Mus musculus: one gene and its partners. The protein of the gene in region 6 interacts with the protein of the main gene of each other region in a pairwise test. Links are inferred from orthologs where the notes say so. Each region holds a gene or a part of one and is shown on either strand. Other genes may lie near its edges.

Evidence for each region.
Region 1: the proteins of Nutm1 (region 6) and Morn4 interact in binary tests that used the Homo sapiens proteins (3 or more experiments, as listed by UniProt). The two-hybrid records come from large-scale screens. The link is inferred for Mus musculus from reciprocal best matches to the Homo sapiens genes NUTM1 and MORN4.
Region 2: the proteins of Nutm1 (region 6) and Zmynd10 interact in binary tests that used the Homo sapiens proteins (3 or more experiments, as listed by UniProt). The two-hybrid records come from large-scale screens. The link is inferred for Mus musculus from reciprocal best matches to the Homo sapiens genes NUTM1 and ZMYND10.
Region 3: the proteins of Nutm1 (region 6) and P4ha3 interact in binary tests that used the Homo sapiens proteins (3 or more experiments, as listed by UniProt). The two-hybrid records come from large-scale screens. The link is inferred for Mus musculus from reciprocal best matches to the Homo sapiens genes NUTM1 and P4HA3.
Region 4: the proteins of Nutm1 (region 6) and Ric8a interact in binary tests that used the Homo sapiens proteins (3 or more experiments, as listed by UniProt). The link is inferred for Mus musculus from reciprocal best matches to the Homo sapiens genes NUTM1 and RIC8A.
Region 5: the proteins of Nutm1 (region 6) and Zfp277 interact in a two-hybrid assay, tested with the Homo sapiens proteins (2 studies listed by BioGRID). The two-hybrid records come from large-scale screens. The link is inferred for Mus musculus from reciprocal best matches to the Homo sapiens genes NUTM1 and ZNF277.
Region 7: the proteins of Nutm1 (region 6) and Lmo2 interact in binary tests that used the Homo sapiens proteins (3 or more experiments, as listed by UniProt). The two-hybrid records come from large-scale screens. The link is inferred for Mus musculus from reciprocal best matches to the Homo sapiens genes NUTM1 and LMO2.

Annotation. Positions count from the first base shown.
Region 1 is NC_000085.6:42,083,571-42,087,770, forward strand, and holds the start of Morn4 (MORN repeat-containing protein 4), read right to left. Parts: upstream 2,801-4,200; 5' UTR 2,627-2,800; intron 1-2,626. UniProt on the Homo sapiens protein: Plays a role in promoting axonal degeneration following neuronal injury by toxic insult or trauma.
Region 2 is NC_000075.6:107,545,967-107,550,103, reverse strand, and holds the start of Zmynd10 (zinc finger MYND domain-containing protein 10), read right to left. Parts: upstream 2,801-4,137; 5' UTR 2,648-2,800; coding exon 2,556-2,647; exon of another isoform or gene 2,427-2,555; coding exon of another isoform or gene 2,305-2,426; coding exon 2,196-2,304; exon of another isoform or gene 2,105-2,195; intron 1,435-2,104; coding exon 1,318-1,434; intron 1,225-1,317; coding exon 1,171-1,224; intron 1,077-1,170; coding exon 939-1,076; coding exon of another isoform or gene 825-938; coding exon 736-824; intron 639-735; coding exon 538-638; intron 230-537; coding exon 57-229; intron 1-56. UniProt on the Homo sapiens protein: Plays a role in axonemal structure organization and motility. Involved in axonemal pre-assembly of inner and outer dynein arms (IDA and ODA, respectively) for proper axoneme building for cilia motility.
Region 3 is NC_000073.6:100,284,111-100,288,319, reverse strand, and holds the start of P4ha3 (prolyl 4-hydroxylase subunit alpha-3 precursor), read right to left. Parts: upstream 2,801-4,209; 5' UTR 2,788-2,800; coding exon 2,594-2,787; intron 1-2,593. UniProt on the Homo sapiens protein: Catalyzes the post-translational formation of 4-hydroxyproline in -Xaa-Pro-Gly- sequences in collagens and other proteins.
Region 4 is NC_000073.6:140,856,034-140,860,196, reverse strand, and holds the start of Ric8a (synembryn-A), read right to left. Parts: upstream 2,801-4,163; 5' UTR 2,727-2,800; coding exon 2,643-2,726; intron 2,353-2,642; coding exon 2,305-2,352; intron 2,216-2,304; coding exon 1,625-2,215; intron 1,335-1,624; coding exon 1,243-1,334; intron 759-1,242; coding exon 608-758; intron 1-607. Other genes in the region: Bet1l (BET1-like protein), read left to right, coding at 3,958-3,976.
Region 5 is NC_000078.6:40,327,291-40,330,790, forward strand, and holds part of Zfp277 (zinc finger protein 277), read right to left. Parts: intron 2,306-3,500; coding exon 2,195-2,305; intron 1,518-2,194; coding exon 1,385-1,517; intron 1-1,384. UniProt on the Homo sapiens protein: Probable transcription factor. Involved in modulation of cellular senescence; represses transcription of the tumor suppressor gene INK4A/ARF, perhaps acting via the Polycomb group (PcG) complex PRC1.
Region 6 is NC_000068.7:112,249,292-112,252,791, reverse strand, and holds part of Nutm1 (NUT family member 1), read left to right. Parts: intron 1-916; coding exon 917-1,056; intron 1,057-1,469; coding exon 1,470-1,747; intron 1,748-2,116; coding exon 2,117-2,233; intron 2,234-2,612; coding exon 2,613-3,500. UniProt on the Homo sapiens protein: Plays a role in the regulation of proliferation. Regulates TERT expression by modulating SP1 binding to TERT promoter binding sites.
Region 7 is NC_000068.7:103,969,111-103,973,086, reverse strand, and holds the start of Lmo2 (rhombotin-2), read right to left. Parts: upstream 2,801-3,976; 5' UTR 2,729-2,800; coding exon of another isoform or gene 2,722-2,728; 5' UTR 2,626-2,721; coding exon 2,375-2,625; intron 1-2,374. UniProt on the Homo sapiens protein: Acts with TAL1/SCL to regulate red blood cell development. Also acts with LDB1 to maintain erythroid precursors in an immature state.

The DNA of each region.
Region 1 (4,200 bases), on a different chromosome or scaffold from region 6:
ACTCATGGACCTCAGGCTATGGCTGAATACATTTGGCTAGGAAATGCAACATGTGTCCAAACAGCTGATACTGTCACTACCTGGGACAGTGTTTGAATTTTTAACTAATGAATCTTGTAACTATCAGTATTAATTAATAGCTCCACAGCCACGAGGCCAAGAGGGAATTTCACCGGTAACCAAGATTATCCATAGTTACTGAGACAAATATAGTTTTTTTGTTTTTTGTTGTTGTTGTTTTGTTTTTATTTTATTTTATTATTATTATTTATTTATTTATTTATTTATTTTGGCTTTTTCGAGACAGGGTTTCTCTGCATAGCCCTGGCTGTCCTGGAACTCACTCTGTAGACCAGGCTGGCCTCAAACTCAGAAATCTGCCTGCCTCTGCCTCCCGAGTGCTGGGATTAAAGGCGTGCGCCACCATCGTCTGGCTCAAATATAGTTTAATAAAGTGTAGCCAGTACTAGTGGAAAAAAGCCCAACACTTTAATAACGGACACAGATCGATGTTCACAATACTTGCTTATATGATCCTGCTGAAGAAAATTGATGCCCCAAGCTTTCAAGCTATACACGGAAGAATACAGTCACAAACCAAGACGACTCACATTCCCACAGAGCCCTTTCTATACTCGTGATAGACAAGCTGCAAAAGACCAGTCCGAAACATAATCTAAAAGTACTATTCTGTCTCTGTAATCCGAAGTCCTAGGACCGTGCAAAGGAGACCATATCCTTTGATATTTTACTTAAAAAAAAAAAAAATCCATGGATGGCTCCAAATAAAACCCAAAGACAGGGCTGGTGAGATGGCTCAGCGGGTAAGAGCACCCGATAAGAAGTTGTTTTCATTTTTTAAAAGTGCTTTAAATTCATGTGTTTCAATGTGAACCTGCATGAGTGTATGTATGCTACGTGTGTACAAGAGCCCATGGAAGCCCGAGAGGACTTTAGATGCCCTGGTACTGGAGTTACAGGTGCTGCGAGCCACCATGTAGGTGCTAAGAACTAATTCCTGGCTAGTAAACACTATTCACTATTGCTGAGCCATTTCTTGTGTGTCTCATTGTCTCCCCACCCCTCATAAAACCAAGCTTACTAAAGAACATTTATGTATTTGCAGCAACTTTTGTCTAAATTAAGAAGTTTTTGTTTGTTTTTTGAAAGAGGATCTATGTAGTCCTTGTCCTGGAACTCACTATGTAGACCAGGCTGGCCTTGAACTCACAAAGATCTACCTTTGCGTCCTAAGGCTCCACCATGTTCAGCTTAAATTAAGAAGTTTTAAAACAAAATAACCGGCTGGTGAGATGGCTCAGTGGGTAAGAGCACCCGACTGTTCTTCCGAAGGTCCAGAGTTCAAATCCCAGCAACCACATGGTGGCTCACAACCATCCGTAAGGAGATCTGACTCCCTCTTCTGGAGTGTCTGAAGACAGCTACAATGTACTTCCATATAATAAATAAATAAATAAATAAATTAAATTAAAAAAAAAAGAGTGTACAAGTCACCGGGCAATGGTGGCACATGCCTTTAAAAAAAAAAAACAAAAAAAAAAAAACAAAATAACAACAGTTCCCCCCTCCAATCTACGAATAATCATATCCCAGTTAGAGACTGTTTGGAAGTAGCCACCCAAACTACTCACACAATCTCCAAAATGTCCCCAAAACCACTTTCTTGGGTTGGCAATCTTTTAGTTATAAAGGAAGCAACCAAAAACAAACAAACAAACAAACAAAAAAAACAAAAAAAGGGAAGCAACCTTGGGTTTTTAGAACCCTAAGAGGAGAAAAAAAATGAAAGCTTTGATGAACAAATATTAGGAAACTGGAAATACTGTTTTATAAAATGTGTTTTTAAATGAATATGAAATAATTAGGTTTTGAACTTTATAATTCGAATCCCCTTCCTAGCTGGAAAGTAAACAGGGGCATTGTTACTATAAGCAGGTCTTATTTAGGAAGAATGTGGGATAGTTAGATGCAAAAAGATGAAAAGAGAACACTGGTACAGGAAGGTTTTTAAAAACACGATGAACCAAGAGTGGTGGACTCTCCGAAGTAATATTGTCTGGACACTATTTTATGCCAAGGGAAAGGAGAATGCCTGTGCTGGGCTCTAATAAAGCGAAGTTACTCAGGTTGGTACCTAAGTTGTTTGTGGATGCGGAATTGCAGAGATGACAATCCATTTCCCAAGCCTCAGTATGTGGGACCTCTCCCTACCTGTGGCACAGACGCGCCCTAGATTAAACAAAGCCCCAGACTTTCACCAGGCAACCCAGTCTTCCACTGCATTTTTCATCCCAGCCCGGCTCCGTCCTTTTTTGGGGGGGTCGGCCCCCACCACACAGGCTCTTCAGGCTCTCATGGGTCTGGCATTCCCTCCAGACACAGCCTGGCACACCCCTCTCGATAACCAGTGTTCTGTGTTCTCCGGGGCTACAACCTCTGGATCGAAATTCCAAACCCAATTTTGGGGTCCCACTCACAGCCACCTTCTGGTCAGTACAGCCAGGACAGAGGCTCGCTCCCTAGCCCAGTCACCTGCTTGCCGCCTTAGTCCCTACCTGGTGGACCGCACTCCCAGGTCCTCCTCCCACCCGCGTCGCGAGCCTACCTGAGCTTGGCTTCTGGGCGACGACTGTCACGCCCCAACGCGATGCGGGTCTCCAGCAGCTAGGATCTTTGCTGCTCTGGGCTCCCAACTGCCACTCTCCCCTCCGCCACCTCCACCCGCCTCAGCCACACTGGACGCCGCCATCCCTGACGGGCCGCACTGGGCACAATTCCTGCTGTTCATTGGCTGTTACCTAGGCAACCGCGAGCAACGCCACTCCCCATTGGTCCAGCCCTCTTTCGTGCCATCTTTGTGAGGGGCCCAGTGTTTTGGGAGTCTGGGCCAAAGATCTGAAAGAGAGGTGGGGCTGAGCCGGCTGTCCAATCTCATTAGTCCCAACAGAAAACAAGGACCCAGGTTTCCCCTCTCCAGAGACCTCCAGGCATAAACTTTAATCCTAAATAAGGCTGAACAAGTGTTCAAAGTGGCTACCCTCTCTAAAGGTTGTGATTTTTAGATGCATGAACAACTCCACCGCTAAGTATGAAGAGAAAACCTAAACCGTGCTTTAGAAGCTCAGCTTTGTAATTAATGATGCGCTGCACATTTGCATTCATAGGGAATCACTGTGTTCCACGTCTTCTGTATTTAAAATATATTGCTATTATTGGAGCAAATCTTCCCAAATACTGTTCCCGAATGTCTGTATAGCTGTATGTTTATTTATTGAAGTGCGTGTGGGCAGCAAGTTCTTCAGGGCTTGGGAAGCCAGGGTTGTCCGTCGTTGCTTCTCTCATGGAACTCATATGACATGTGTGAGGCATTGAAAGACAAAGCAAATGGCTTCAAATAGCTTTTTGGATTGGGATTTCTTCAGCTGCAGGTTAGAAAATGGTAATGATGAAAATAAGGGTGGCTTTTCAGGACCTGTATGAGAACATAACGCCAAAAGAACGGTAGTTTGAAGTTAATTTGAAAAGATTTGATTTCTGTGTTCAAATCCTATCTTCGCTACTTACAAATTGTGTATGTTTTTGAGTAACTTAGTGAGCTCTCTGGCCTGTAAAATAAGATCAGACCAATAAATTCAATATGGTATTAATAATACTCACTAGGTAATATAAGCTAAACTGTGGAATAGATTGTAGATTAAAGTGCAGTCATTGAGTCGGGCGTGGTGGCGCACGCCTTTGATCCCAGCACTCGGAAGGCAGAGGCAGGCAGATTTCTGAGTTTGAGGCCAGCCTGGTCTACAAAGTGAGTTCCAGGACAGCCAGGGCTATACAGAGAAACCCTGTCTCAAAACAAAACAAAACAAATAAGTGCAGTCATTGAAAAATAGAATGTAAAGAAAGGGATCTCTTTAGAACTTGTGTTAGGAAATATGAAGAAATGAGATTAAATCACAGATTATGTGAGACCAAATTATGGAAAGACCTATAAATTTGCAACAACAACAACAAAAGCTTGCAAAATGTAGTTTCTTTGGCCAGCAAGATGGTTTGTTGGTTTGTTGGTAAGAACAAATTACCTTGTCTCCTTGGGACACAGCATCCAACATCATTGGAGTTATAATGGGAGTTAGTGAAGCGAATCCATGTAAGATACAACGCCCAGCACATACTTAGCACTGG
Region 2 (4,137 bases), on a different chromosome or scaffold from region 6:
GGGGTGGGTCTGGGCAGGGGGGCAGTGGGGCTGGGCGGGGTCATTGAGTTCTCCACCTTAAGCAGCTGTCCCTTGGCAAAGCTTGTAAGGCAGTAACGGGCTCGGGCCTCAGGGCTGAGCAGTAGATTGTACAGGGCGATCCATACTTGCCCATCCAGTTTATTCAGCTTTTGCTGCTCTGAGGGGGCCACCGTCTGCCATCGGCCACTCTCAAAATGCTGCAGCTTGCCTGGGGGAGGAGAAGGAGCCCACCGGATGCCGGTGGGTGTTGTGTTATCTTTGAGAGTGTGTGGTCCGGAGGACTGTCCACCACTGCCTGGCAAGGTTAGAAAGCCTGGGCCACCAGACGTCAGAACAAGGTGGAGTCTTCAACAAATGGTTCACAGGACTTGTCTGCCTCAGAGTCAAACTCTAGTCCCATCTCGGGTGAGGTATCCCAGAATCCTAAATGTGTACCCTGTACCCTTCACACTGATCCTGAAGGGTGTTCTGGAAGCAGCCAGTTACATCTTAGGCAAATGGGAGGGGGAGCCTTACCTCCTACCCGCCGGCTCCAGGGACTGTGCTCCAGCAGTTCCACCAAGAGGCAGGGCAAGTTGTGAGTCCTGAGCATGCGGTTCAGTGTGCTCAGGGAAAGGCTAGAGGTAGGGTAGAAGGGTGGTCAGCAGAGGCCACGGGCCAGGACACACAGCCCCTTGTTGTGTGCTCGCCCCCGGGCCTTGGAGGGTGGCCCACCTATCCACGCAGTCTGTGATGTAGCGAAGCACCGAGAGGGCTTTCAGGGATATCTCAAATTCCATCATCTCCGCCTGCTTTTGCAGCTCCTGATGGTGCGGGAGAGGGGGGTAGGGGCACAGGCACATAGCATTCACCCTGCCTGTGGAGGCTGGAGAGAACTCACATCGAGATTTTGTTAAGTCCAGGAAACCGTAGCTTACTTGCATAGGGGTACTGTCCTGGAACTGTTCTTCTTCAGACAGGTCACCACCGCCTTTCCGGGCCACTAGCAGTATCAGCTTGCGGTGGCAATAGTCTACTAGGTCCAAGACCTTGTCATCAGCTGACTCACACACCTCCTGGGGGGGTTCAGGGAGGGGATATTTCTGGGGTTCGATGCCCTCCCCGGCCGACATAGCCCACCAGGCTCAGGCCTGCAGAGTAGTGTCTCACCTTGTGGAAGAACACTGTCTCTAGGAGATTGATGATGGAGGCCTCATGGTGTACCTGTCGAAGAGGACGGGGCTGGGCTGAGAGGGAGAGACAGGGACTGGCTGTTAGCTATCTTTCTCGGCTCAGGACTCTGAGGGCCCAGCTCACCACCATGTATATGGGGAAGGTATTCTGGGGCTTGAAGTCCTCCAGCCGGCACAGCACAGGGAAAACCTTCTGTTTCCACATCTCCACCGCAATCAGCTCCTCCACCAGCGTTGGGATCTGCGGAGGACGGGGGAGAAGCAGGGGTGAAATGGCCCTGCCTTGGTCCCTCAGCTTTCCTGTCCCAGCTTTAGCCTGTCTTAAGTCTCCAACTCTCTTGGGTTTCCTCTGAATGGCCTTTACTGCCATTGCCCTCTTGCACCTTACCCCACCCTCCGTCCAGGGATACCCCACTTTAGGGCAGCTCTGCTCTTCCTGTCCTTATTCTGGTCTTTGTCACCTGGCCTTACTCTTACTTCAGCCCTTTACTGAGCCCTGTTCCTAGACCAATCCCTGCTACCCAGCTCTGCCTTTCTCTTGCAGGAGAACTAGGGCCGCCCTTGGCCCAGCCTCCAGCCAGGCATCTTTCCCGGCTTCTACTTTCTCCTAGTGTGCTACCTTCCCCATTTGGAAAGCCTCACTTCCTCCTTAGAGAGGATCTCTTTGGCCTTACAGTCAATTCAGGCTCATGTCAGCACTTGAGCACTCCCCCTGGAGCCTAGGATCCATGGCTCCATCCACTCTCGCATCCACTGAGGGTACAATAGGAAATGTAGCCAGCCAGGTACAGCGAGGCATGCCTGCAGCCCCGGCACTTGGGAGGCAGACACAGTTAGGCTAATGGCCATCTGGGCTACAGATCAACACCTTATCTCAAAATAAAACAAACATATTTTTCTTTCCCACTTAGGTGTACCAGGCCTGAAGGAAGAACAGGTGCTGCCTAGTGTCCCCAAGAGGTACAATAGAAGGCAGGAATCCTGCCTGGGACCTGGACGTACCTTCCCATGGTTGATTAGCAGTTCCTGGATGGGCTCAGCCTGGCTGATAGTTGCATCAAGGATGGCTTGCATGTTCAGCTTCTCCAGGCTCTCATGCTGCTTATTCCACCTGCCCCCGAAGGGATGTATGTACATTGGGTGACCAGATGTGCAACGGGAGTGAGGGTGGGGTTGGATCCTACTGAAGACTACCATGATCCTGTCCTGGGGCCAGAGGGGCACGGGGGCCATACGCTTCTATCTCAGAGAGCTTTGCCTACCCACCTGGAGGCCCCTCCACACTGGCAACCCCTTCTCCAATGTCAGTTCCAAGCTCCTCCACTAAAAGACCAGTGACTCCACCTGTGGCGGCTGCCTCACCCTTCAGAGCCCATCTCCCGAAGCTGGAAGCTGCGCAGGCCCCGCACCAGCACCTCAGCCTCCCCAGGCAGCAGCAGTTCCAGGTCACCCATGCCAGGGGCTAAGATTCCTTTGGTTTTGGGAAGCAACCCGAATAGGGAAAACTGAAACACTTAGGACTACAGAGTCCAGCGGTAGGACCAAAGTCTTGGGACAGGGCAGTTGCCAAGCCGTTGAAGCGCTTGAGTCGTCGTCGCCATGGAAACGAGGGAGCTTGGCGCCTGCGTAGTTTTGTCTCGATACCGCTCTTGCCACGCCTACCTCACCGCCAATAAGCAGCCCCAGATGCCAGACCCACTCGCCACACCTCCCCAGGGCTTGCACAGCTGTGAGTGTGCAACTCCTGCAGCTGCACTGTCTTAGCCCCTCAATAGGGTAGCTACCGCGGTCTCAGCAGCTGAGTCTTTCAGTTTTTCGTTTTTATGACATAGGCTGGCGTGGAACTTCCTATTTATACCGAGCTGGCCTTCAAATCAAAGGGTTCCACTGGCCTCTGTGTGCTCTGTCTTTCTAGTGCTGAAATTAAGGCATGCGTTACCAGGCTCAGGCCCGCAGCCAGGAGTCCTAATGATGTGCACCTAACATACCTCCCTCCAGAATGGCGCTGGCTCCCAAAATACCAGACCACAGCGGCTTACCAGGAAGAACCTTCCTCCCGCCCTCTCTCCTACCCACGTGCTTCATTTTTTTTGTCCCATTCTCTTTTATTTTAAAAACGTTTGTGTGTGAGCCATCTCCCCAGAACCCCATCCTCTCTTTGAGATGGATTCTCATTATATAGCCAAGACCGACACGGAGCTCGCTATAGAGCCAGGGCTGGTTTAAGCTTTCCTTCTTCTTGGTCGGCTTCCCCAGTGTTGTGGATTGAGGCGTGCACCACCGTGCTTGTTTTCCACGTCCCAACCTCATGAGCTTTCCCTGAGTTCCTCCTACAGGCTTTCTGAGACAGGGTTTGACTATGTCAGCCAGGCTGGCTTTAACTCTGTATAGTCCAAGCTGTCTTTGAACTAATTCACTTGTGTCAGCCTCCTTAGTGTTAGCATCACAAGCATGCGCCACCATGTTTGGGCCCTTGCCTTATTTCTTCTGGAATAGTCTTACTCCTTCAAGGCTCAGTCACTCAGATCCTCCTTGGCCATCTAATACAGAGCAATTTTTGCTCCTGTCCCAATATATTATATCCATCTTACCTGATTCTAGTTCTTTCGGTTTATAGGCCAGAGCAGTGCTCATAGCTGAGAACTTGCCTGTCTAGCATGCACAGAGCCTTGGCTTCAGTCCCCAGGACTGCATACGTGGGGTGTGGGAACATAAATCTATAATCCTAATTAACTAACTCAGGAGACCAAGGCAGGAGAATCAGAAGTTCAAATCAGGAAGTTCCAGGCCACTCTGTGCTTTATAACAGCCCGTCTTAGCTCCACCTCGTACTGACCGCCAAAAAATAAAAATAAAAAAACAAACAAACAAAAAGTTAAAAATCTAAGTGTGGCCAGGCATTCCAGCGCCCACCTTTAATCCCAGCACTCAGAGGCAGAGGTAG
Region 3 (4,209 bases), on a different chromosome or scaffold from region 6:
TCTGAGCAAACAGAGACTGAGTTACAGGACGCTGAAGGCCAACCTCAGGCTTTCCTAAATGCCTTTTTGCTTTAACAAATGCTGCTGAGAGTGGAAAATCAGATCCTTTCCTTCAAGAATCTGCACATAAAATTTGCAACCCAATCCCTGCAGTTAGCTTCCTGGGGAGGTTATTCAGCCGCAAGCCATGGGCCATGTCAATTCGATACTTTTCTCCCTTGAAACTGAGAGATGGCTTTGCCTTCATCCTTCTGAGACCTTCTGAATGCTTCATTCTAAGCTCAGAAATCACTCCAACTCTTTTACTCTTTGTGTTTCTTAAATGGCACCAACAAAACAAACTAGACTACCCCCCCTCCCCCATGCAGACTGTGTGCTCTACTGGGTACTCGGTGATGGGGGCTCTAATTAGAACATTTTCTATCCATTAGCAGGTAGAGCAGCCTCAGCAGCCAAAGCCACTTCATTTCCTGATTTAGAAACTCAAAGTATATAAAACAGGGGCATTAGAAATAACATTTCAACTTATATAAAATCAACAGATTGAATCTATAGAAAAGTGAGCTGAAACTACCCCAATTTTTAAAAAATGATTTAAAAAATCATTTTTAAAAAGTAAACACTTCACGCTGGCTTTCGAGCATGACCAGGGGACAGAATCACAGCCTCTAGAGCATCAGATTGCCTGTGATGAGACTAAATGTTCATAATCATCTGAGAAACGGATCTGGGATTTTAAAAATTCCCTTTTTAATCTTTTAGAATCCCAGCTAGTGCTTCCATTGGCAGGGTTAATTTAATACTTAGTCACTGAGCAGCGGTGGTCTGCTCTTGTGTTGCTTGGTTCACAGCAGTCTTCCTGCCTCAGCCTCCCCACTGCGCCGAGTCTACTTGATCAGCCAGCCTTGAAGAGTCATAGGGAGTTAACATTTTTTCAGTAACTTACTACATGTTAAGCTCAATGATAAATAACTTTACCTGGACACAATCGTTCCAAGAACCCTATGGGAATAACCATTAAAGCATCATTGTTTAGATTAGGAAACTAAAGCTTAAAGATATAACACGGTCAGAGTCAAAAATTCAGAGACCTGTTGAGCTCCTGAATCTAGACTCTGAGTCACTTGGTACCCACAGTGTTCCACACACTTTCTCCTGCATTGGCTTTCTCCTCTTCCTCCTCTTCTTTTCCTCCTCCTCCATCTCCTCCTCCTCTCCTTTTTCCCTTCTTCCTCCTCTTCCCTTTTTTCTCCTCCTCCTCCTCCTTTTTTTTAGTATAGACAGGTGTCTTTTATTAGCTTTTCCTAAACTTGTCTCCTGCTTACAGCCTGTTTTTCTTAGTGTAAGAATGTAATCTGCAGGTTTTTTTTTTTTAACAAACCAATTTGATACTGCAACTCAAACAAATGCGTGTCTAACTACAAGCCATCAGTTGCCACCAATGGCATTTGAAGAGCAGACTGCAGGATTAAGCCAACCCTTACGAAACTGGCTGTCCTTCATGACCATTTCTTATAAACATTTGTGGGAGTGGAGCAGGGCGGGTTGGCATGGGAATGGATTTGAAATTTAAAGTTACTGGAAATCAAATGATGTGCTTCTGCTCTGTCTAGACAAGTTTGTAAGATCAATTGGATTTATGTGGAAACAACTGTGCCTTATAGTCCGTGGGCTTCTCAGTGTCCAAAGCAAAGAAGGCACAAGACATGTTGGTATCATATGCAAGCATTCCTTTTTCATCTTGGACACTGATTAGTGCTCTAAGTCCCACACTTTACAACAGTTTACCTTCCAGGATCTAACTCTACTTTGCTGACTGCATAAAAAATAATGTTGGCTGTGTGTTTGTGCACACTACTCCCAGTATTACCCCGTGTGAAGTAGTTTTTCACAGTGTTTTCTTTGGAGTCAGACATTTTCACATACATACAACCTCTCAGCTACTACTTACATTCAGAGAACTTTTACCCATGGAAAAAGAAATAAGAGCTATAATGGTCACCACAGCATTCTACTGTGTCAGCAGTAACTTGACAAGAAGTCCAAGGTCATTTGCTGCTTGACACAGTATTTGTGAGATCCAACTGGACTCTAGAATCTCCATGCTACCTACACTTTTTCACAGTGTATCAACTTGGACATGTGAAGGTGGATGGGGGGTGGTGTCACACCCCGGGGTGTGTGTTTGTGTGTGACAGAGACAGAGAGTGAGAGACAGAGAGACAGGGAGAGACAGAGAAACAGAAAGAGACAGAGACACGGACAAACACACATACATACAGACACATAGACACAGAGAGAGACAGAGACCGGAACAGAGAGACAGAGACACACACACAAAGAGGCAGAGAGACAGGCACAGAGACAAAGAGACAGACACAGACAGACAGACAGACAGACACAGAGAGTGAGAGAGAGGGAGAGAGAGAGAGAGAGAGAGAGAGAGAGAGAGAGTGACACAGAACTCCTCATTCCCCTTCAAAGTGTCTCAGGGTCCCCACCACATGACAGTTGGGTCTGGAAGTCACTTTGGGCCTCAGTTACTCCTCACCCTCAGTCGCTGAGCATCCCGGCTCCCTGGAGACGCCCTCACCTGGTCAAGTCGCGCAGCCGCGCCTCCTCGCCGCGCAGGTAGCGCCTCAGTGTCCCCAGCAGCCTGCGCTCGGGCGCCAGGGCGCGCGCCACGCTGGTCAGCGCGGAGAACGTGTCCTCCCGCCCCGTGGCCGCCGCGGGGTCTCCCCCGAGCGCCAGCAGCGCCAGCAGAGCCAGCCGCGCCCCTGGGCCCATCGCAGGGTCGCGCGTCCCTCCGCGCTCTCGCCCGGCGCCGCCCCGGCCCGCCCGCCCGCCCGCAGCCTTCCGTCGCCCGCCCTTGGCCGCCTCCGTCCCCTCAGCACTGAATTCCTTAGTGCCTGGCCCGCCGCTAACTCCACACTGATTCCACCGTGCCTGTCACATTTGGGGGAACTGAGGCGAGCGCGGGTGAGCAGTGATTTCTCTAGTTACAGCCGTGCTGAGCCATCATCCAAATTCCTCCTGTGGGACAGGGGAGGACACAAAAACCTCTGGATTATGAGGGGAACTCCAAAGGGTGACACAGCATGGTGACAGAAGTGCAGGTGGCTGGGGCAGAGGGGTAAAGTCTTCACAGAGGACAGGACCTCAGGTGATCTTGAAAGATGGCTAGGACTTACAGAAGCTGAAACTCTAGGATCGAGTCACTACAGAGTCACACAAAAATACCATCATTATATTCTACTAGGCTGCTTGTTTCTTTCACCCCGCTATCCCTTTTGCCCAGCAATGTTTATTCATTTACTCATTCATTTAAGTGTTCAGTAACATCTGTGCTATAGTAGGTGCAGATGCAGCCCGCTGCTCATAAAGGGAAATGGAAATGTAAACCACCATAAAAACACAAAATGGGCAACCACAGGCTGTGTGCAATGGGTGAGGACCTCATCCCCAAAGAGGGGCTTCCCCTGGCATGCTTTGATGGGGAGAGAGCTTCACAGAGTCAATGTGTGTAGTTCTAACAGTATCTTGACTTTAGGCCATCCTGGATTATCCTGGTGAGCTCAACGCAGTTGCCAAGGTCCTTTTAAAAAGGCAAAGAAAAAGCCGGGCGGTGGTGGCCCACGCCTTTAATCCCAGCACTTGGGAGGCAGAGAAACCCTGTCTCGAAAAACAAACAAACAAACGGCAAAGAAAGATACAGGACAATAACAGCCAAATCAGAGACTTGATGATGCTGTGTTGCGACTTTGAAAATGGATAAACGGTCTGTGAGTAACAGGTTGTAGGTAGCTTCTAGAAGGTTGAGAAGGCTGGGGGACAGATCTTTCCTAGTCTGCAGGAAGAACAGATCTGCCAATACCTTGATTTTATCTCGTGACACCTATTCGTTACGGTTTGAATTTGAAATGAACCTCACAGTTTCATCCTCTTGAATACTTGGTAAAAACCAAGCTATGGAGCTTTGGGGAAGTAGGGCTTACATACTCCACTAGGTTCACTAAGGCTTCACTGCTGGCCAGAGCCATCAGGTTTCTGTCTGCTGGATGTGAGCACCGGCCACATATGCTAGCCACCAGACGGGGCAAGACCTGCCAACACACCTTCCTTTTCATGATGGGCTCCAGGAGTCAAAGAAATCTTTTCTCTGTTACAGTGTGTCTGTCAGATATCTGGTCACAGTGCTGAAAAAGTCTA
Region 4 (4,163 bases), on a different chromosome or scaffold from region 6:
TTGTGGTTATGCCTCTTTAAGATGCAGAGGGACAGCTGGGGGGTGGGGGTGGGGTGACGGTGGTATCGGTACACATCTTTAATCCCAGCACTCAGGGGACAGAGGCAGACAGATCTCTGTGAGTCTGAGGCCAGCCTGGTCTACAGAGTGAGTTCCAGGACAGCCAGAGTTACACAGAGAAACCCTGTCTTGAAAACAAAACAAAACAAAACAAAACCAAAAAAATGCAGAGGGACAATGTCGCCTCTGGCTGCCCATGTATAGAAACACGAGGAGCCTGACGGTTGGAAGCGGGAACTAAAGGCTTCTGAGAACCACTTAGCAGAGCCACAGAGACCTAAGGGCTACCTTTCACCTTGGGACCCGAGAAGCTTGCTCTCCTCTGGTAATCAGCAGCAGGAGGGCTCACACACACAGTGTATCTGCAGGCTTCTGCGAGGGCCTGACTGAGCGGCCACCGTCTAGCTGCACCACAGAGCAGTCAGAGCAACTGTCCACGATATATCGTCAAGCTGAGTTCTACTCGCCAGTACCAATGGTTCAGAAACAGCAGTCACAACAGGTGCCCGAGCCCCTGGGTGTCCACGTAGCAGGCCCCCAGTCCTACCTGGTGCAGACGTTTCTCTAGGAAGGCGAGGAGGGCACTGATCACATCCATGTTAACTCCCATGAACTCTAAGGATCCTTCGTGGAGCTCCAGGGCCAGAAGCACATCCAAACACTTGAGGGGCAAGTTCCCCAGGAGATTCACCGTGTGGCTGGGGACAGACACACAGAGGCCTCGACACAGTAATTATATTTAGCACAGATACACTCCCTGGCCCTTCTCCTGGGGTACACATGGATGGGCTCGAAGGGTTGCACTGAAAGCAATAGACTATAGGCAAGGGCAGGTGGTACCCCAACTCAAATTTGGTGGGGAGATTCTGCAGACGCTATCTGGGCCATTATGTCTGAGCTGAGATGCCAAACAATCTCTCGAACCTGAGATGAGCAGAGGCACCAGCAAGAGACCATACTGCCTCCGCCTAAGGCCCTGTCTCTAAGTTCATAGCTCTTCTCTTAGCCATACCTGAGTTACCTAGGCTCTCTGGAAACAACACTGGTGCCCCATTCCCCTGATGAAGTCAAAGGTGGGGCCTGGGCCCCCAAGTGCTTCTGATTCACAACTAGGGTTAAGGACTTCTGTACCCATACCTAGGAACTCTTGCCGTCCCCAACATTGTGAGCCCTACCCCTCACCCGTGGAACTCCTCTGTGCGGTCCCCAGCAGCTTCAACCATCACGCAGTGCCGCAGAAGAGTCCCCAGGTACCGGTAAAGGGCAGCATCTTCCTAACCAAAGACAGAAAGGGGCTCCTGTGAGATCGAACCCCTGTTCTTGTGGCCACATGGAGTTGATCCCTAGACGCTGTGCACAGCACATGTGGTGCTTTTGGCCACCTGAAGCACTGTGGAGAATACCCACCTGCAACCCCATGCACAGTGCGGCTCAGGCACCTTCCCTGAGTTCCCGCCTACACCATCCTCTAGTCCTCGCCATATCTGATACCCTGCAAGCTGAGGTACAAAGGGAAGCAAACTGTCCCACCCGAACTGAGTCTCAGCCAAGACTTCCAACCTACCTCATCAACTTCCCTCTTGACAGAGTCAAAGGTGATATTAAAGAGCACTTTGAGGATCTCCATGGCCCTCTCCGTCTCTTGGGCTGGAAGCATCACCGGAGGGTTTTCTTTGGGGGCCACGCCCAGTGTTAGTTCCAGCGCATCAGTCAGCAGGCGTACACCGTGCAGCTCCTGAAACAGTTGCTGGCGCACATCCGTGCGAAGGGCTGTTAGCAGGAAAAGGAGCCTCAAGTCAAAGAACTGGACTTCGTGGGGATAGCTCCTCTTGCGGTACAGTCCCACACGCTCCGCTAGCCTCACCACCAGGCGAGCCTCTGCTGCTAGCATCTGTGCTGTTGGACTGCTGAGCACAAGATTACACAGGCATTTGAGAGACTCGAGGAGGACATCCATGTCTGGGGACTGTGGGATGGGTTCCTCTGAGACGGTAATGTCAGCATAGCAGGCTAGTGCATGTAAGCTCTGGCGGCTGGCAAATGAGTCCAGGCAGCTGCGGTCTCGGGATAGGATTCGGATAGTCTGCAGCCAGGTGACACGGTGCTTTGGTGACAAGCCCTGCTCCAGGACGGAGACCAGTAGCTTTGCGAGTCTCTGTGGGGTCGAACAAAAGTGGTTCCACTAGGCCCTCTTCTTGGGGTCAGCCCGTGCCTGCCCTAGGAGCCCTTGGGGCTGACACCTACCTTCCTGTCCTCCTGCTGGGCATCATCGAAGGTGAAGCTCTGAGAATGCTGCAGGGAGACCCAGGAGGCTCAGATCCACATGCAGGTAGGACCCGTGCTCCTCGAGTCAGAGCAGACCTCTGAAGCAGCATCCATCGCTCTGAACCTTAAGGCAAGGCCCACCCTAGCCTCCCATACACCTGCCCCACCACACGCCACCACAGAGCCACCCGAGGGACCAGCCCACCACCCACCGCCGTGCTCCCTGCCACCACTCGCACGCACACCCCAGCCGAGTTGCGCGCACACCCCTGCTTCCTCTCTTCCTGAAATTTCCTCGGCAGCCGGATGCCTCTCACCTCCCGGTTGAACGACCGCAGAGCTTCTGTCACCGCATCTTCCTCTCCGGTCTCCAAGGCATCCGCAACTGCCCGGGGCTCCATGGCCCCTGGCACCGGGTGCTGGAAGGCTTGGGCTGGGAAGACGCAATCGGCCAAACCCCGGGGCTCCGCCCAGGTCCGGAAGCCCGGCGTCCACGCGTGAGGGATGCTGGGAGAGCAGCCGAACCCAAGGGTGTGTACAGGCGCCTCCGACTTAAGGTGGAGCAACCCGGCTGTGGTCGCTGAGCGGCTAGTCTTGGAGCGGCGATGCTAGCTAACCAGCCAGGCAGTGTCCTCCTTTTGAGCCCTCCTCTCTAGCCCGAGTTCCTGGCAGGCGGGGGGTGGGGTGGGATGGGAGGGTGGGGAGTGGGGTGTGGCTTGGCCCGCGCGTGGACCGTCCTCTTTACGCTCTTGTCCCCGTACTGTGATAAAAAAGGGAGCGCCGGCTCCTGGCCGCTTAATCAGTTGGGGAAGACGATTCTCGCGATCCAGGCCTTGGAGCTCATCTTCCATAGGGAATAGGGAAAGAGAAGTACAACGACTTGGATGGTCAAAATAATGCACGTGGTTAGCCGGGCATAGTGACGCACGCCTTCTTAAATCCCAGCACTCGAGAGGCAGAAACTAGCAGACCTATCTAAAAAGAATAGCCACCAAAGTAATACGGTTATTCTCAAGAAAATTGCAGAGAAGGAAGTGAAGAACACCCGTGGAAAAGCCACTCCCGCGAGAGGAGCAACGGAGGGGCGGCCAGCCGAGGCGTGTCTGAGGTTAGAAGCGTAGGAGCGCTGTGTAGCGGGGAGCCAGGTCCGCACGCCACTTAGCTGAGTCGGTGCCCCACAGTGACACATACAAACAGTGCTCCAGTGGATGATGTCACCCGCCGTGCTAACCGGCTCTGCCCCTACTCAGTGGCAGGCCCCGGCCGTCTCCTTCACCAGTCTCTTTCGGGTCTGCCTGTCCTCCCCATCCAGTTGGATTTAGCAGCGCCAGAGGCATCCGACTGATTTACTGAGCTGGTTCCTAGCCTCTGCTCCAAATTTGGGTCTGAACACCTGCTCCGAGTAACACCCACAGCGCAGGACTAATATTGCTGACCAATCCGTGGGTCCGAATGCTGGTGGCCCGCCCTTCCCTTATTTACATTCCCGAGAAGCACTCCAGGTCTGTTTCTTCCGCTTCAGAACCTTCTCCCGGAAGTTATTAGCCCGGAGGCGGAACCGGAAGACCCGGGTACTGGTGCCACGTCCGTTGCTGTGCTGCGAATTCCCTGAGTGGGACCCTGGAGGGCGCGATGGCAGATTGGACTCGAGGTGAGAGCACTTGAAAGGCAGTAGAGGTAGGAGGGGAAGTCTAAGTCTGGAGCTGGAGACATCGCTCGTTTCTCGGTGGAAGGACCTGCGTGGGGTGGCGCTTACGTATCCCTGGAAAAACAGGGCCGGATTTCGCCTGGCGCTGCCTTGGAACCCAAGCCGGCATGCCATCAGTTTTGTGTGTGGT
Region 5 (3,500 bases), on a different chromosome or scaffold from region 6:
TAGCAGAACACGGGTGTGTGGATCCTTTGAAGTCTCCCTCCAAGGTAGAGACTCCAGCTATACAGTGTTCTGCTAGTTCACAGCTCGTGCATATTAGTTTAAAGGGCCCCGGAAGGAGAACTAGTAAATTGCTTTCATGGTTCGCTACAGCAGCTGCATACCAGTGCTGGCATCCACTCCCTGTTGGAGGGGGCTGGGCCCTGAAGCAGCACTGGCTCTAGGAAGTCATGACTGAATGACTTGAAGAGAAGATGGAAGGACTCAGAGGGTGCCTTTGCTGGTTGTAAAACATTTGTAGAAAACCTTGGCAAGTTCCCAGAGCCAATCTTTAAGCAAATGCTAAACTCACTTCTTGAAGAGAATTTCTGTTTAACACTATATGACTAAGTTAAAACACACAAAAAGTGCACATGAGAGCAGGGACTTCCAACACAGATCTCTCTACCCAACATAGGAAGTGGCTGATAATATGCCTTTAGTCTTTCCAAATCATCAGGCTTCGATTTTAATGTACTTATATTGAGAGGGGGAAGAACAGGGAATTTCAGCATGAGAACTTTCATCCTTCATTGTTCTATAGCACTTGTAATCCTTTTCTAAGTATGGGTAGGACCCCTCATTACATACAATGAAAAAGCTGGAGGACTGAGGCAGGCCTGGTGGCATTCTCCAGTCATTATGTCAGTCCAAAATCCCCTCCCAGAATTTTAAATAACTCTAGGAATGTTGTCTCTAACTGAATATCACTGCTTGTCCTCAAAGGATGAATCTACAGTGGGCAGCAGACAGGATAGAAACTTTATACCTTAAAACATTTAAAATCCGTGGCATGGGCCACCAATCAAAAATATTTGCTTAATAAAATGGAACAGTTTTTCTGAAACTTTCCTTAAAGAGAAGTTGGCAGACAATGATACAGATGCACATTTTATTTTGAGGATAAGGGGAGGATCATTTAGTGGGGAGATGGGAGAAGAGTTAAGAAACTGCTTTTAAAAAATTATCTTGTGTGGCACCTAGCACACTCAATACTCAATAAGGGCTTTTAAAAGCAGAGTACATAAACCCTTGGCTTCAAGCTGCCAGATAGCACCAAACGGGGAATGGTTTGTATATAATGAAATACTGTTTGTTTTTTTCAGTTGCTATCACACTGAATTCTAGAGATGCATCTGTCATCTTTACTGCAGAAACATCTGGCAAGCCAAAATGCAACCCATCAAATTTGTTTTGTAAACCACTGCTAACTACTTCTTGATAATGCCTCTCATTGCCTTTTAACCTTTGTGTCAATTCATTCATTATTCAGACATTTGTTGGTTTGTAGGTAGATTTTGATTGTGGTATTGTAGCCAAATTTTAAACTATAAGCAGCAAGACTTACCAAGTAATTGATGACATAGAATCGGTCATATTCTCTGTTTTTTGGATTGATCCTACGATGCTGCTTTTTTCTCATGTGATCTTTAAGGGTGTTTTTGTCTCTGAAGGTCTTCTCACAGTACAAACACTGTAAACTAAAGGAAATATACACACACTGCTAAACATATCCCTTAGACAATTGTTGCAGAACCCTATTTTAATTTTACATTTATTTATTTGTGTTACAATAAACGAGGTTAAAACGGTTTCTCGGTGAATCCCCTGTCCCTTTAGCTACTTGGCTTTGTAGAAAGCATGGTATGGTATGGTTTGCTTTGTAGTAGTCTAAGTTGGCCAACTTGATGTCTAGTTCAAACTGTGGCAAAGACTGTTCGGTTTCTAGACTGCGCAAGCAATGTGACCAGGCTCCATCTGCTCCTAAAGCCCTCCCTTCCCTGTCACAATGGTTTGCATGCCTTGGGACAATATGCCAAAATAAACCCTGCCTTCTCGAAGATTTGACCTACCAGGTATCGGGTCACAGCAATGAGAAAAGTACAGAATATTGATGATGAGTATATTTTTTTATGATGTAAATGGTCAATGTTTGGCATAAAGCATGCATTTAAATGCAATAATTTCAAAACTCACTAGAAGGCAATATAATCTAGATAAAAGCTACATAATACCAAAAAAGGGTAAAATCCCACAGTATAAGAAATGAGTAACTTTCATTTAATTCTAAATTAAATTAACTTATTCAAATAACTTTTAAAAATTCAGAAGTGTCTAATATTAAATTAGGTTTAGGCCGTGTTTTGCGAATACGTACTTGTCCAGTTTCTTTTGCAATGTGCATAGGAATTCAGCGCAATTTACAATGTTGTCTGGCAAACCAATGTTGAAAGCATGTTCTCTGGCCATGTGGTTCAACAGTACAGATCTGTGAAGGAATACGAACAATTTCTATTATTTACAAATAATATAGGAGCAAATAAGGCTAGGAATAGCATTTATATAACAACCACCAATCAGAGGATAAACAAGTATTAGATACAGACATAAACACTTGAGCCTCGCTAAGATGGCTATGCTAAACAATATGGAAATCCACATGCTTGCTTTCTAACATTGGAAGGGCTAGATTCTGTAGGAACATCAGGTCCTATTCTTCTAGTTTGTTTTTGTTTTTTTGAGAAAAGGTTTCTCTGTATAGCCCTGGCTGTCCTGGAACTCACTCTGTAGACCAGGTTGGCTTTAAACTCAGATCTGCTTACCACTGCGTGGTGGGGTGGGGGTGGGAGTAGGGGTGGGGTGGGGTCCTACTCTTTCATCTAGTAAATAAATGATGCTGCCTCTGCTTTTTCAACTCACTATGGAAATGATGCTTAATTTTAGGCACTAATGTTACTGGGATAAGGAATAGTAGAGAACAAGGAAAGCATTTGGCATGTGTGGTGGTGAGGGTGTTTTCACAGGAATGTTGGGCATCTGAAAGTATAGGACTTGAAATGAACTCCCCTGATTCTGAGCCCTGGGAATTCTGCAAGGAGCGAGTCTGTCTCTAACATTTACAAAGTCCACCTTGGGAGGGCTTGGCCTCCATTATGGATAAGGCAACTCTCCTACTAAATTCTATGTATTCCCTTATCACACATGGCGGTTCTGTTCTCTGGGAAATCCTGACAAATACAATGGAGAAGAGGCAAATGGTTAATGGACATGGTTAATGAGATCATGGACATTCACCTAGGACAGCACCACATGGAGATTACGAACCTACTGTTAATAGATGTTACATACAAGGGTCATGACAGCCTGGAGGCCCAATTATCAGCTTGTAGACTATCTTATGCTCAAAAAGGAAACTTATTTCTATATTTTAATTGACTTTTATGGGTAAACTATAATGATGTATACATTTATTAATTATCATATGATATTTTAGAGATACATAGATATTGTAGAGTTGCTTACGTTATATCTGCTCTAACATAGGTCACTCAAACTTCTTTCTTTAGCTTTTTGTGGCACTAGCTAATGTCACTCTATTGGGCAACACCAGCATACCTCTTACTGCTATTTAACTATGATGCTCACGCACCAATTGACTCTGCCTTTTCCACTACTCTCCTAGG
Region 6 (3,500 bases):
GGTATACCCAGAGTGGTCTCCTGATTCTTTATTCCCCATTTCGACAGGATAGCCATGTCTTAAAAAGTAACTTTGGTTGGCCGTGTTGTGAGTCAGCACACATGGCCCCAGGGCTGACATGGGAGTACTATTTGAGGCCAGGAGTTCAAAGCCAGCCTGGGCAACATAGTGAGAATCCTTAGCACAGCAACTGGGGAAGAAATCATTTCCTCCAAGTATATCTTTTTTTTTTCCCCTCTGTTACCCTTGAGGACCTGTTCCAGCCTTTGCACTCTGGTGGGCTCTGCTTCCGCCATCATTTTCAGTTGTAGAAAGGGGCAGATGAGGCCATCAGGAACAACCCTTTGGAGTGTCCCTCTAGACTGTTACATGGGCCATGCTTATATGGATTCACCAAGCTTATATAAAGTAGCAATTAATCAGGACACTGGGTGAGATTGATAGGCAGCAGAAGTAAAGGGTATCACTTTGTCCTGGAGAGTTATCCAAACTGTATACCACCAGTTTCCTTATTTAGCTTCTTGAATAACCACTGAAGGTGAAGGGACAATATAATGGCATTTCTCAGAACTGTCACTAGGCTACTACCTACCTGTGAGCAGCTTACCCTGACTGACCCAACTTCAACAGTATTGAGCCAAATGGAGGGTGCTTGGTTTCTTGGCCATGTGTGGATGCTGCCTGGCGTCTGTGTTACTGATGGACTGGGTTCTCCTTATTACAGACTGTACTTTTTTTTAAAAAAATGTGAATTGTTTTTCCATTTTATGTACCTTGGTGTTTTGCCTGCATGTATGTCTGTGTGAGAGTGTCAGATCTTACAGTTACAGACAATTGTGAGCTGCCATGTGCGTGCAGGGATTTGAATCACTGAGCCATCTCTCCAGCTCTGCCCAGTCTTTCTTTACCCTTGCAGGTTCATGGAGTTTGAGGCCGAGGAAGAAACACAGATACAGAATGCACAGTTGATGAATGGCTCCCCGGGTCTGTCCCCTATAGCCCCTTTGAAACTTGATCCTCCAGGGTCCATGGTCCCTGAGGCTTGCCAGCAGCCAGGTAAGGCCACCCGCAGTGCAGACGAGGATTAGGAAACTCTGCTTTTGCTTCTGTCTGTCTTTCCTGGGAGTGACATTGTTATAAGCCAAATGCAATGCCCCCTAGGAAGCTGGGGTGTTAGCTCCTTTTGTCTTGAATGAGCTATTGATCTTGGCCAAGTAAACTACTCTCTCATCTGGATTGTGCATGAGTCCTATCCTTTATCGGACATGGCGTTGGATCAGATGGTTTGTTGGGATGTCAAGGTGTGTGGAAAGATTTCTAACCGTGTTTTCTCTCACACCCCCTCCAGCTTTTTATGTTTTCTCCCCTAACACCTCAATCCCATTCTGGAACCCGAATTTCTTCCCTTCCAAGTATCACTGGGAAGTAGATACCAAGGCTCCTTCCCCACTCTCCACCTCTTCCCTCAGTGTACATCCCTAAGAAGGCAGCCTCTAAGACTCGGGCTCCTCGGCGGCGGCAACGCAAACCTCAAAGGCCTCCTGTTCCCGAGGCACCCAAAGAGATCCCACCTGAAGCTGTGCAAGAATATGTTGACATCATGGATGGGCTGATGGGAAGCTACGTGGACACTGGGAAGACAGAAGAGGAGGAGGAGGGGCAGCAGGAAGGTGCAGGGATGTATCCAGATCCAAGTCTTCTGAGCTACATTGATGAACTCTGTTCTCAGGAAGTCTTTGTCTCCAAGGTGAGCTAGGTCTACAATGGCTAATTTCTGGTATTTGGGGGCGAGGCACTATCAGGCATCAGCTCTCTGGGGTTCTGCATGTGGTAGGAGCCTCCATCCTATAATTTTGAATAGATATCTATGAGTTGGATACTGTGGGGCACCAGCCATCTGGGGTTCTGTGAAAGTCAGTAGGCTCCATTCTATAATTTGGAAATAGGTATACAGGTAGGTAGCTGATGGTAAGGACTACCACAAATTTTTGTAACAAACTCCAGCATTAAAGTTTGTCTCTATGGGCTATGGGCCTCATAGATTTGTCTCTAGAGCACCTGGGCTTACAGATCACTCCATATCAAGATTTACACCACTCTCCTTTCTGTTCCCCAGGTGGAGGCAGTCATACACCCTCAGTTTCTGGCAGATCTGCTGTCTCCAGAAGAGCAGAGAGATCCTTTGTCTTTACTTGAGGAACTAGAGCAAGAAGAAGGACTGAATCTTGCCCAGGTAAACTTGGGAGGCAAAGAACACAGGCAAAGGATCCTGGCTGATTTTGTATAACCCTTTGATATCTTGATACTGTTTGTGAGAGAATTTAGGTTTGGGCTTTGGGTCATATAAGGGCATAGAAATCAGCAGTTGAATAACACAAGGATAACCTTCACACAGTGCACAAAAGCATTATGCCTACAGTCTAAAGCAAGTAGGGAGGGAACGAGGAAAGGCTCACAGCTCTAACGCAGAGAGAGCTACAGTATCTATCTTTGACACCATCACTTAAAACACTTGCTTTTCTTCCCCACACTATCTACCATCTCCTATCACCCACTCAGCCACCTCTTCTCCTAACCATGTATAGAACTGGCATTTGTCCATTCCCTTCCAGCTGGTCCAGAAACGACTCTTGGCCTTGGAGGAGGAAGATGCACAGACACCTCCAAGTTGCAGCGGAGCTCAGTCAGACTCAAGTCCTTCTGTTTCTGATGAAGATGAAGACGGGGGTCAAAGGCGTCGGCCCTCACCTGGGCTTCAGGGGGCTGCGGGCATTGTTCGCATTGGAAAATCTGCTTCTCCAGGCAAGCAGGCAAGAGAAATACATGGTGGGCAGGAACAAACACTAGGTGGTCCAGCGGGGATTCACAAGGATGGAAATAATCTGCCATCCCCTAGCAGCTGGGATGTACAGCTAGAGCTCACAGCTTCACAGGGGATGCCAGTACTCTTGGGTATGGAGAGAAAAATGTCTGGGAAGGCTATAAAACAGCTATCTGCAACTCAGGATGGCCACCTGGGAAGGACTGGGTCCCCTGGGTACTACCCAGTAGCAGATAGGAATCCAGAGGTTTTACCTTGTTGTTGGCAAGAAGATCCCCAACACATGAGAGCCCCCAATTTTGATGTTGGACTTACAGAGCCAGTTCCTCTGCAAGGACTTGGGTTAGAAAAACAGGCTTTGACATTGCAGATAGGAAAGCGGATCGGGGGAGCTGGGATGCTTACTCGAGGAAGAGAACCACCTTCAGTGGTTTCCCAGAAGGGCTCTTCAAGGGCCGTGCGGGGAGATGACAGAGGTCCTGGTATGCTTCAGAGTTACAGTCAAAACCATTCCCCTGGAGCAGCTGGCAACCTAGACAGGGTTTCTCTCAGCCCAGGACTGTGGCTGAGCAGTGACATGGGTGCTGTAGGTTTAGAGCTTCCCTTACAAATTGAGACTGTCATAGACAGCATCCAAGATGAGGCATGCAGAAGAGAGGACCAGGCATTGAATTCTAGA
Region 7 (3,976 bases), about 8.3 Mb from region 6:
GAAGCAGAAGGGAACACCAATTGCATGGTGAAGGATATCTGTGTTCATGAATACTGGCTTCCTGTGCACACGCTACCTTTGCACGTGCCTAGGCAAGGACCGATCTGCATCTGGAGATCCAAGCTGGTAAAGACCCAAGCTGGCTTTGAGCAAGCACTCAGTGAGGCCGCTGGCAGGAGAGCTAGTTGCACGAGAAAGAGACACGAGGGTCTGAGAACAACAGATAAAGACAGGACAAGATTCGGACTCGGTCTATCTTTCTATAATTAATGACATGCCATTACCTCTGTTGAACAATTCAAGCCAAAGACTAAATGAGATTTACCTTAAGTTAATATTTGATATTCTCCCGCCAGCCTGTCCCAAATATGACACCTGAGTATCTCTTTAGCTTTGATTTTCTGGCAAAAATTTCTCAACAATTTCCCAGAAAGAGGGGAAATGTTCCACAGACATTTCCCACGGGGCTTGTCCATCTTCAGTTACAGCCTTCCTTTACCGGACACATACTGCAGGAAAGATGAACTACCAGTGGACCTCCTGAACTAGGTAGGTGCTCACTACTACAGCTATGAGATACCTTTCAGTTTTCTAGTCTGAGGCAATAAAAGGCACCAACTTTAGCAAGAGTAAACTTCCTTTACAGAACACAATTCCCAGGCTGGAGAGAAGGCTCAGCTGTTTAAGGATGATTTCTGTTCTTCCAAAGGACCCAAGTTGGAGTCTCCACACCCAAATCAGATGGCTCACAACTACCTGTGACTCCCACTCTAGGGAGATCCTTCACCTCTAGCCTCCAGGGGACCTGAGCTTAGGTGCACACACACATTCATGTAATTAGTAATTTTTTTAAGAAGCCAAACTCTGTAGATTCAACATCTAATAAAGGATTAGTGGTTAGGTTGTGCTGATAGGGAGCCAGTAAACAGCAGTTCACCAGACTGCCTCCCCAACTGTGTAATCTTATGTCTTGTCCAATTTCTGAAAACTCGGGGCCCAGATGTAATTCTAAGCTTATGCTTAAAAGGGAACAAGCTATAGACACTGACTCTTTAAAGGGTTGTTGTTTCTCTCCTGAGATTTTAAGGAAGCTGGTCCTCTTGCCAACAAACCTAGCTCCTTTCTGAGCTAGTGTCTTAACCTTCAAGACTGAAGAGTGATGTTTATATTCTTGCTGGATCGTGGGACTTCCTGTGTTTTATGAGAACACGCTGGGTTTTTATGCTGCTGGCTGAGGGTAAAGCCCAGGTAAATAAACACCACAGAAGGCTGAAATTGAAGGGGGGGGTGAATAGGAAAACTCCAGCAGGAAAGCACAATTCTTTTAAAGCAGGAAAAGAAAAGAAAAGGGGGGCAAAACCCCACCAAAACAAATGCATCTTAAAAGCCCAAACGGACAAGTCATTAGCAGTGCCTTTGGTCTTGTGTTAACAAATCCCTTCAAAGGATTAGATGAGGACTTCAAAGGAATAAAAACTCAAAACCAGACAGCTAATGACTCTTAAAAGGGCATTTGTGTGGACGTGGAAAAAAAAAAACCGATACCTTCGTTCCTGGCTCCCCTTGTTAAGGCTAGAGAATGGGCTAGGAGGGTACAGGCTGTGGAATGGGGAAGGGAGGGGGGGCTGTTCTTTGCAAACCAGCGCAAAGCTCAGAGCACTAGACAGTACATGCTCATTAAAGCTCTGGTTCGCTGACACACACACACACAGCCCTTCTGAGAGTTCGATGAGATTCTGCTCCCTAGAAAAACATACTAGACAGAAAAAAAAATGTGCACTAACTTTCGAGGTTCACATGCCCGCACTAGGAAACTCAGGGGAGGGGCGAACATGTACCGGGAGGAACGACAGATTAGCAATTCTAGAAGTCTCTGGAGGCCAGAACCAGTTCCCAGGTGGACAAGCGGACCTCATCAACTGTCCGCTCTACTCCGGGCCTGGTAGGAGAGTCGACGTCGGAGACCCCGGGATGTTCTAGTTGGGATGCCCCCCTTTCCAAGGCCAAATGGACAAAAAGGAAGGGAACCTGGAGAGGGTGGGACGAAAAGGGAGAAGGCAGAATCTTGTCCTCCACTCTCCCTGCCCTGCACCTGTGCCTCAGAGCTCCGGGTGCCAGCTCCTGGGCAAACTTTCTGGCCCTGGTAAAGGTTTGGGGAGCTTTCCAGATAGCCCGGAGCGGTCCGCAGGGTCGATCCCAGTTACAGCTTCCGCCGCCCAGTCCCTCTCGGTGTTTCCAGAGTCACCCGCGAGGAAAGAGAACCCCTGGGAGACGGAGGGATCAAGGGCACGCTGCGGGCGCGCACCTGGAGTCAGCCCCTCGCGCCTAGCCTGGGACCCTGTTTGGGGTGCCGGAACAGAAGCGCCACACTTACTCAGACGGGTCCAGGCTCTTCCTTTCGATGGCCGAGGACATTGGGGAGGGGGGCGGCGTGCCGGGCGGCGGGGGCGCTCCCTTTGTGGCGCGTGGCTGGCTAGCTGCCTGGACTCGGACCCCCTCGGGTGCTCGGGCGCCGCCGCTCCTGCGCCTCCTCTTGCTCGGTCGCTCCGCTGGCGAGCTCGCCCCTCCACGCTCAAGGACAGTCACCGCGCTCCCTTCAAACGCCAAAGAGAGAGAGCGAATCATCCAGCTGCCCGGCGCGCGGCGGCCAAGGCAGGGGGCCGGGGAGCAGCCCGGCCTCCCTCCGGTGGCTGCGACAGCTGCCGCTGCTCAGGACTTAACCTTCCATCCCGGTCCCGCTGCCGTCACCACAGCCGCCGCCGCCGCCGCCCGGTCCCGATCGCGCGCAGTAGCCGGCTCCGCCCGGTCGCCCCGAGCCCCTCGCACCTTCGCCGGGGTCGGGGCGCCGGGGGCAGTGAGGGGGCGGCGGCCTGGGGGCGGGGAGCTGACCGCGCGGCTCTCCCCAGGCTCCCTCCTCTCTCGCGAAGGTCTATTTTCGCTCAGCTTCCCTCTGTCTCTGGTTTCATTTCCTTTTTCCTGATCACGATTCAAATACAATAGAAGGAAATCACATTTAAAGAGACAGCTGCCCGCCCCCTCCCCCCTTTTTTTCTTCCTTTTTTTTTTTTTTTTTAAACGGGGCTCCTGGGGATTAGCAATCCAAATAGCGGCGGCGGCGGCGGCGGCGGCGGCAGCGGCAGCAGCAGCAACGGCGACAGCGGCAGCCCTGACTTGGCTTCTTAAAAGGGCCCGCGGCAGAGACCGAGAGTCTCCCCTGAGCCCCTCTCCTGGGGCAAGAATCCCGCTGCCACTAAACTGTCTTTTTCAGAGTTCCCCTTCTTCTGCCTTTCCCTTTGGCCTCAGGCTGAAAGTAACCACTCGCCCGTTCCAGCAGGAAAGAAAAGACAAGAATGTGAAATAAGCACCTGCAGAAATGCAAGCGTTGCTAATGGCTGGCTAGCGCGCGCTCGTCTCGGGTTCGAGGTCCCAAGTCCACAGTCGTGGTGCTCTGCGATGCCCGAGACAGTGCGGCTCTGCTGGCGGCAAGCTAGTAGCTGCGACTGCTCTCCAGAGAGGGGCGCAAGCTGTGTGACCAGGAACCTCACGCGCTAGGTGCGCCTGAGCAGAGCTGGGGGCAGCTAATCCCGCAGGGAGGGTGTCTGGGAGGGACCACGTTGTCCGGGTCTCCTCTCCATCTGCTGGCGGCAGAATTCCCTCCCCTAGCCTCTTTCAAAGAGCGAACTCCAGCGGTGAGGCTGGCCCTCTCTGTAAAGTATCAGCAGCAATACTTGCTTGGACCGGAGGAAGTTCCTTCCCGATAAAAAGACTTTCAGTTATTACTTACTATTATTTTGTCTTATATAAAACAAAGAAAAGGGCAGGTTTCTCCTTCAAGCTTGAAGACAAGTTCTAGAAGGAGAAAGAAATACAGAAGGGAAGAGATGGATTCCAGCTAGCTACTTTTCAGGAGAAAAACCTAGGTCCCCCTGGGCCTTGAGTTCCTTGAAACTGAGTCCAGAAATGATCGTTCAAGGCC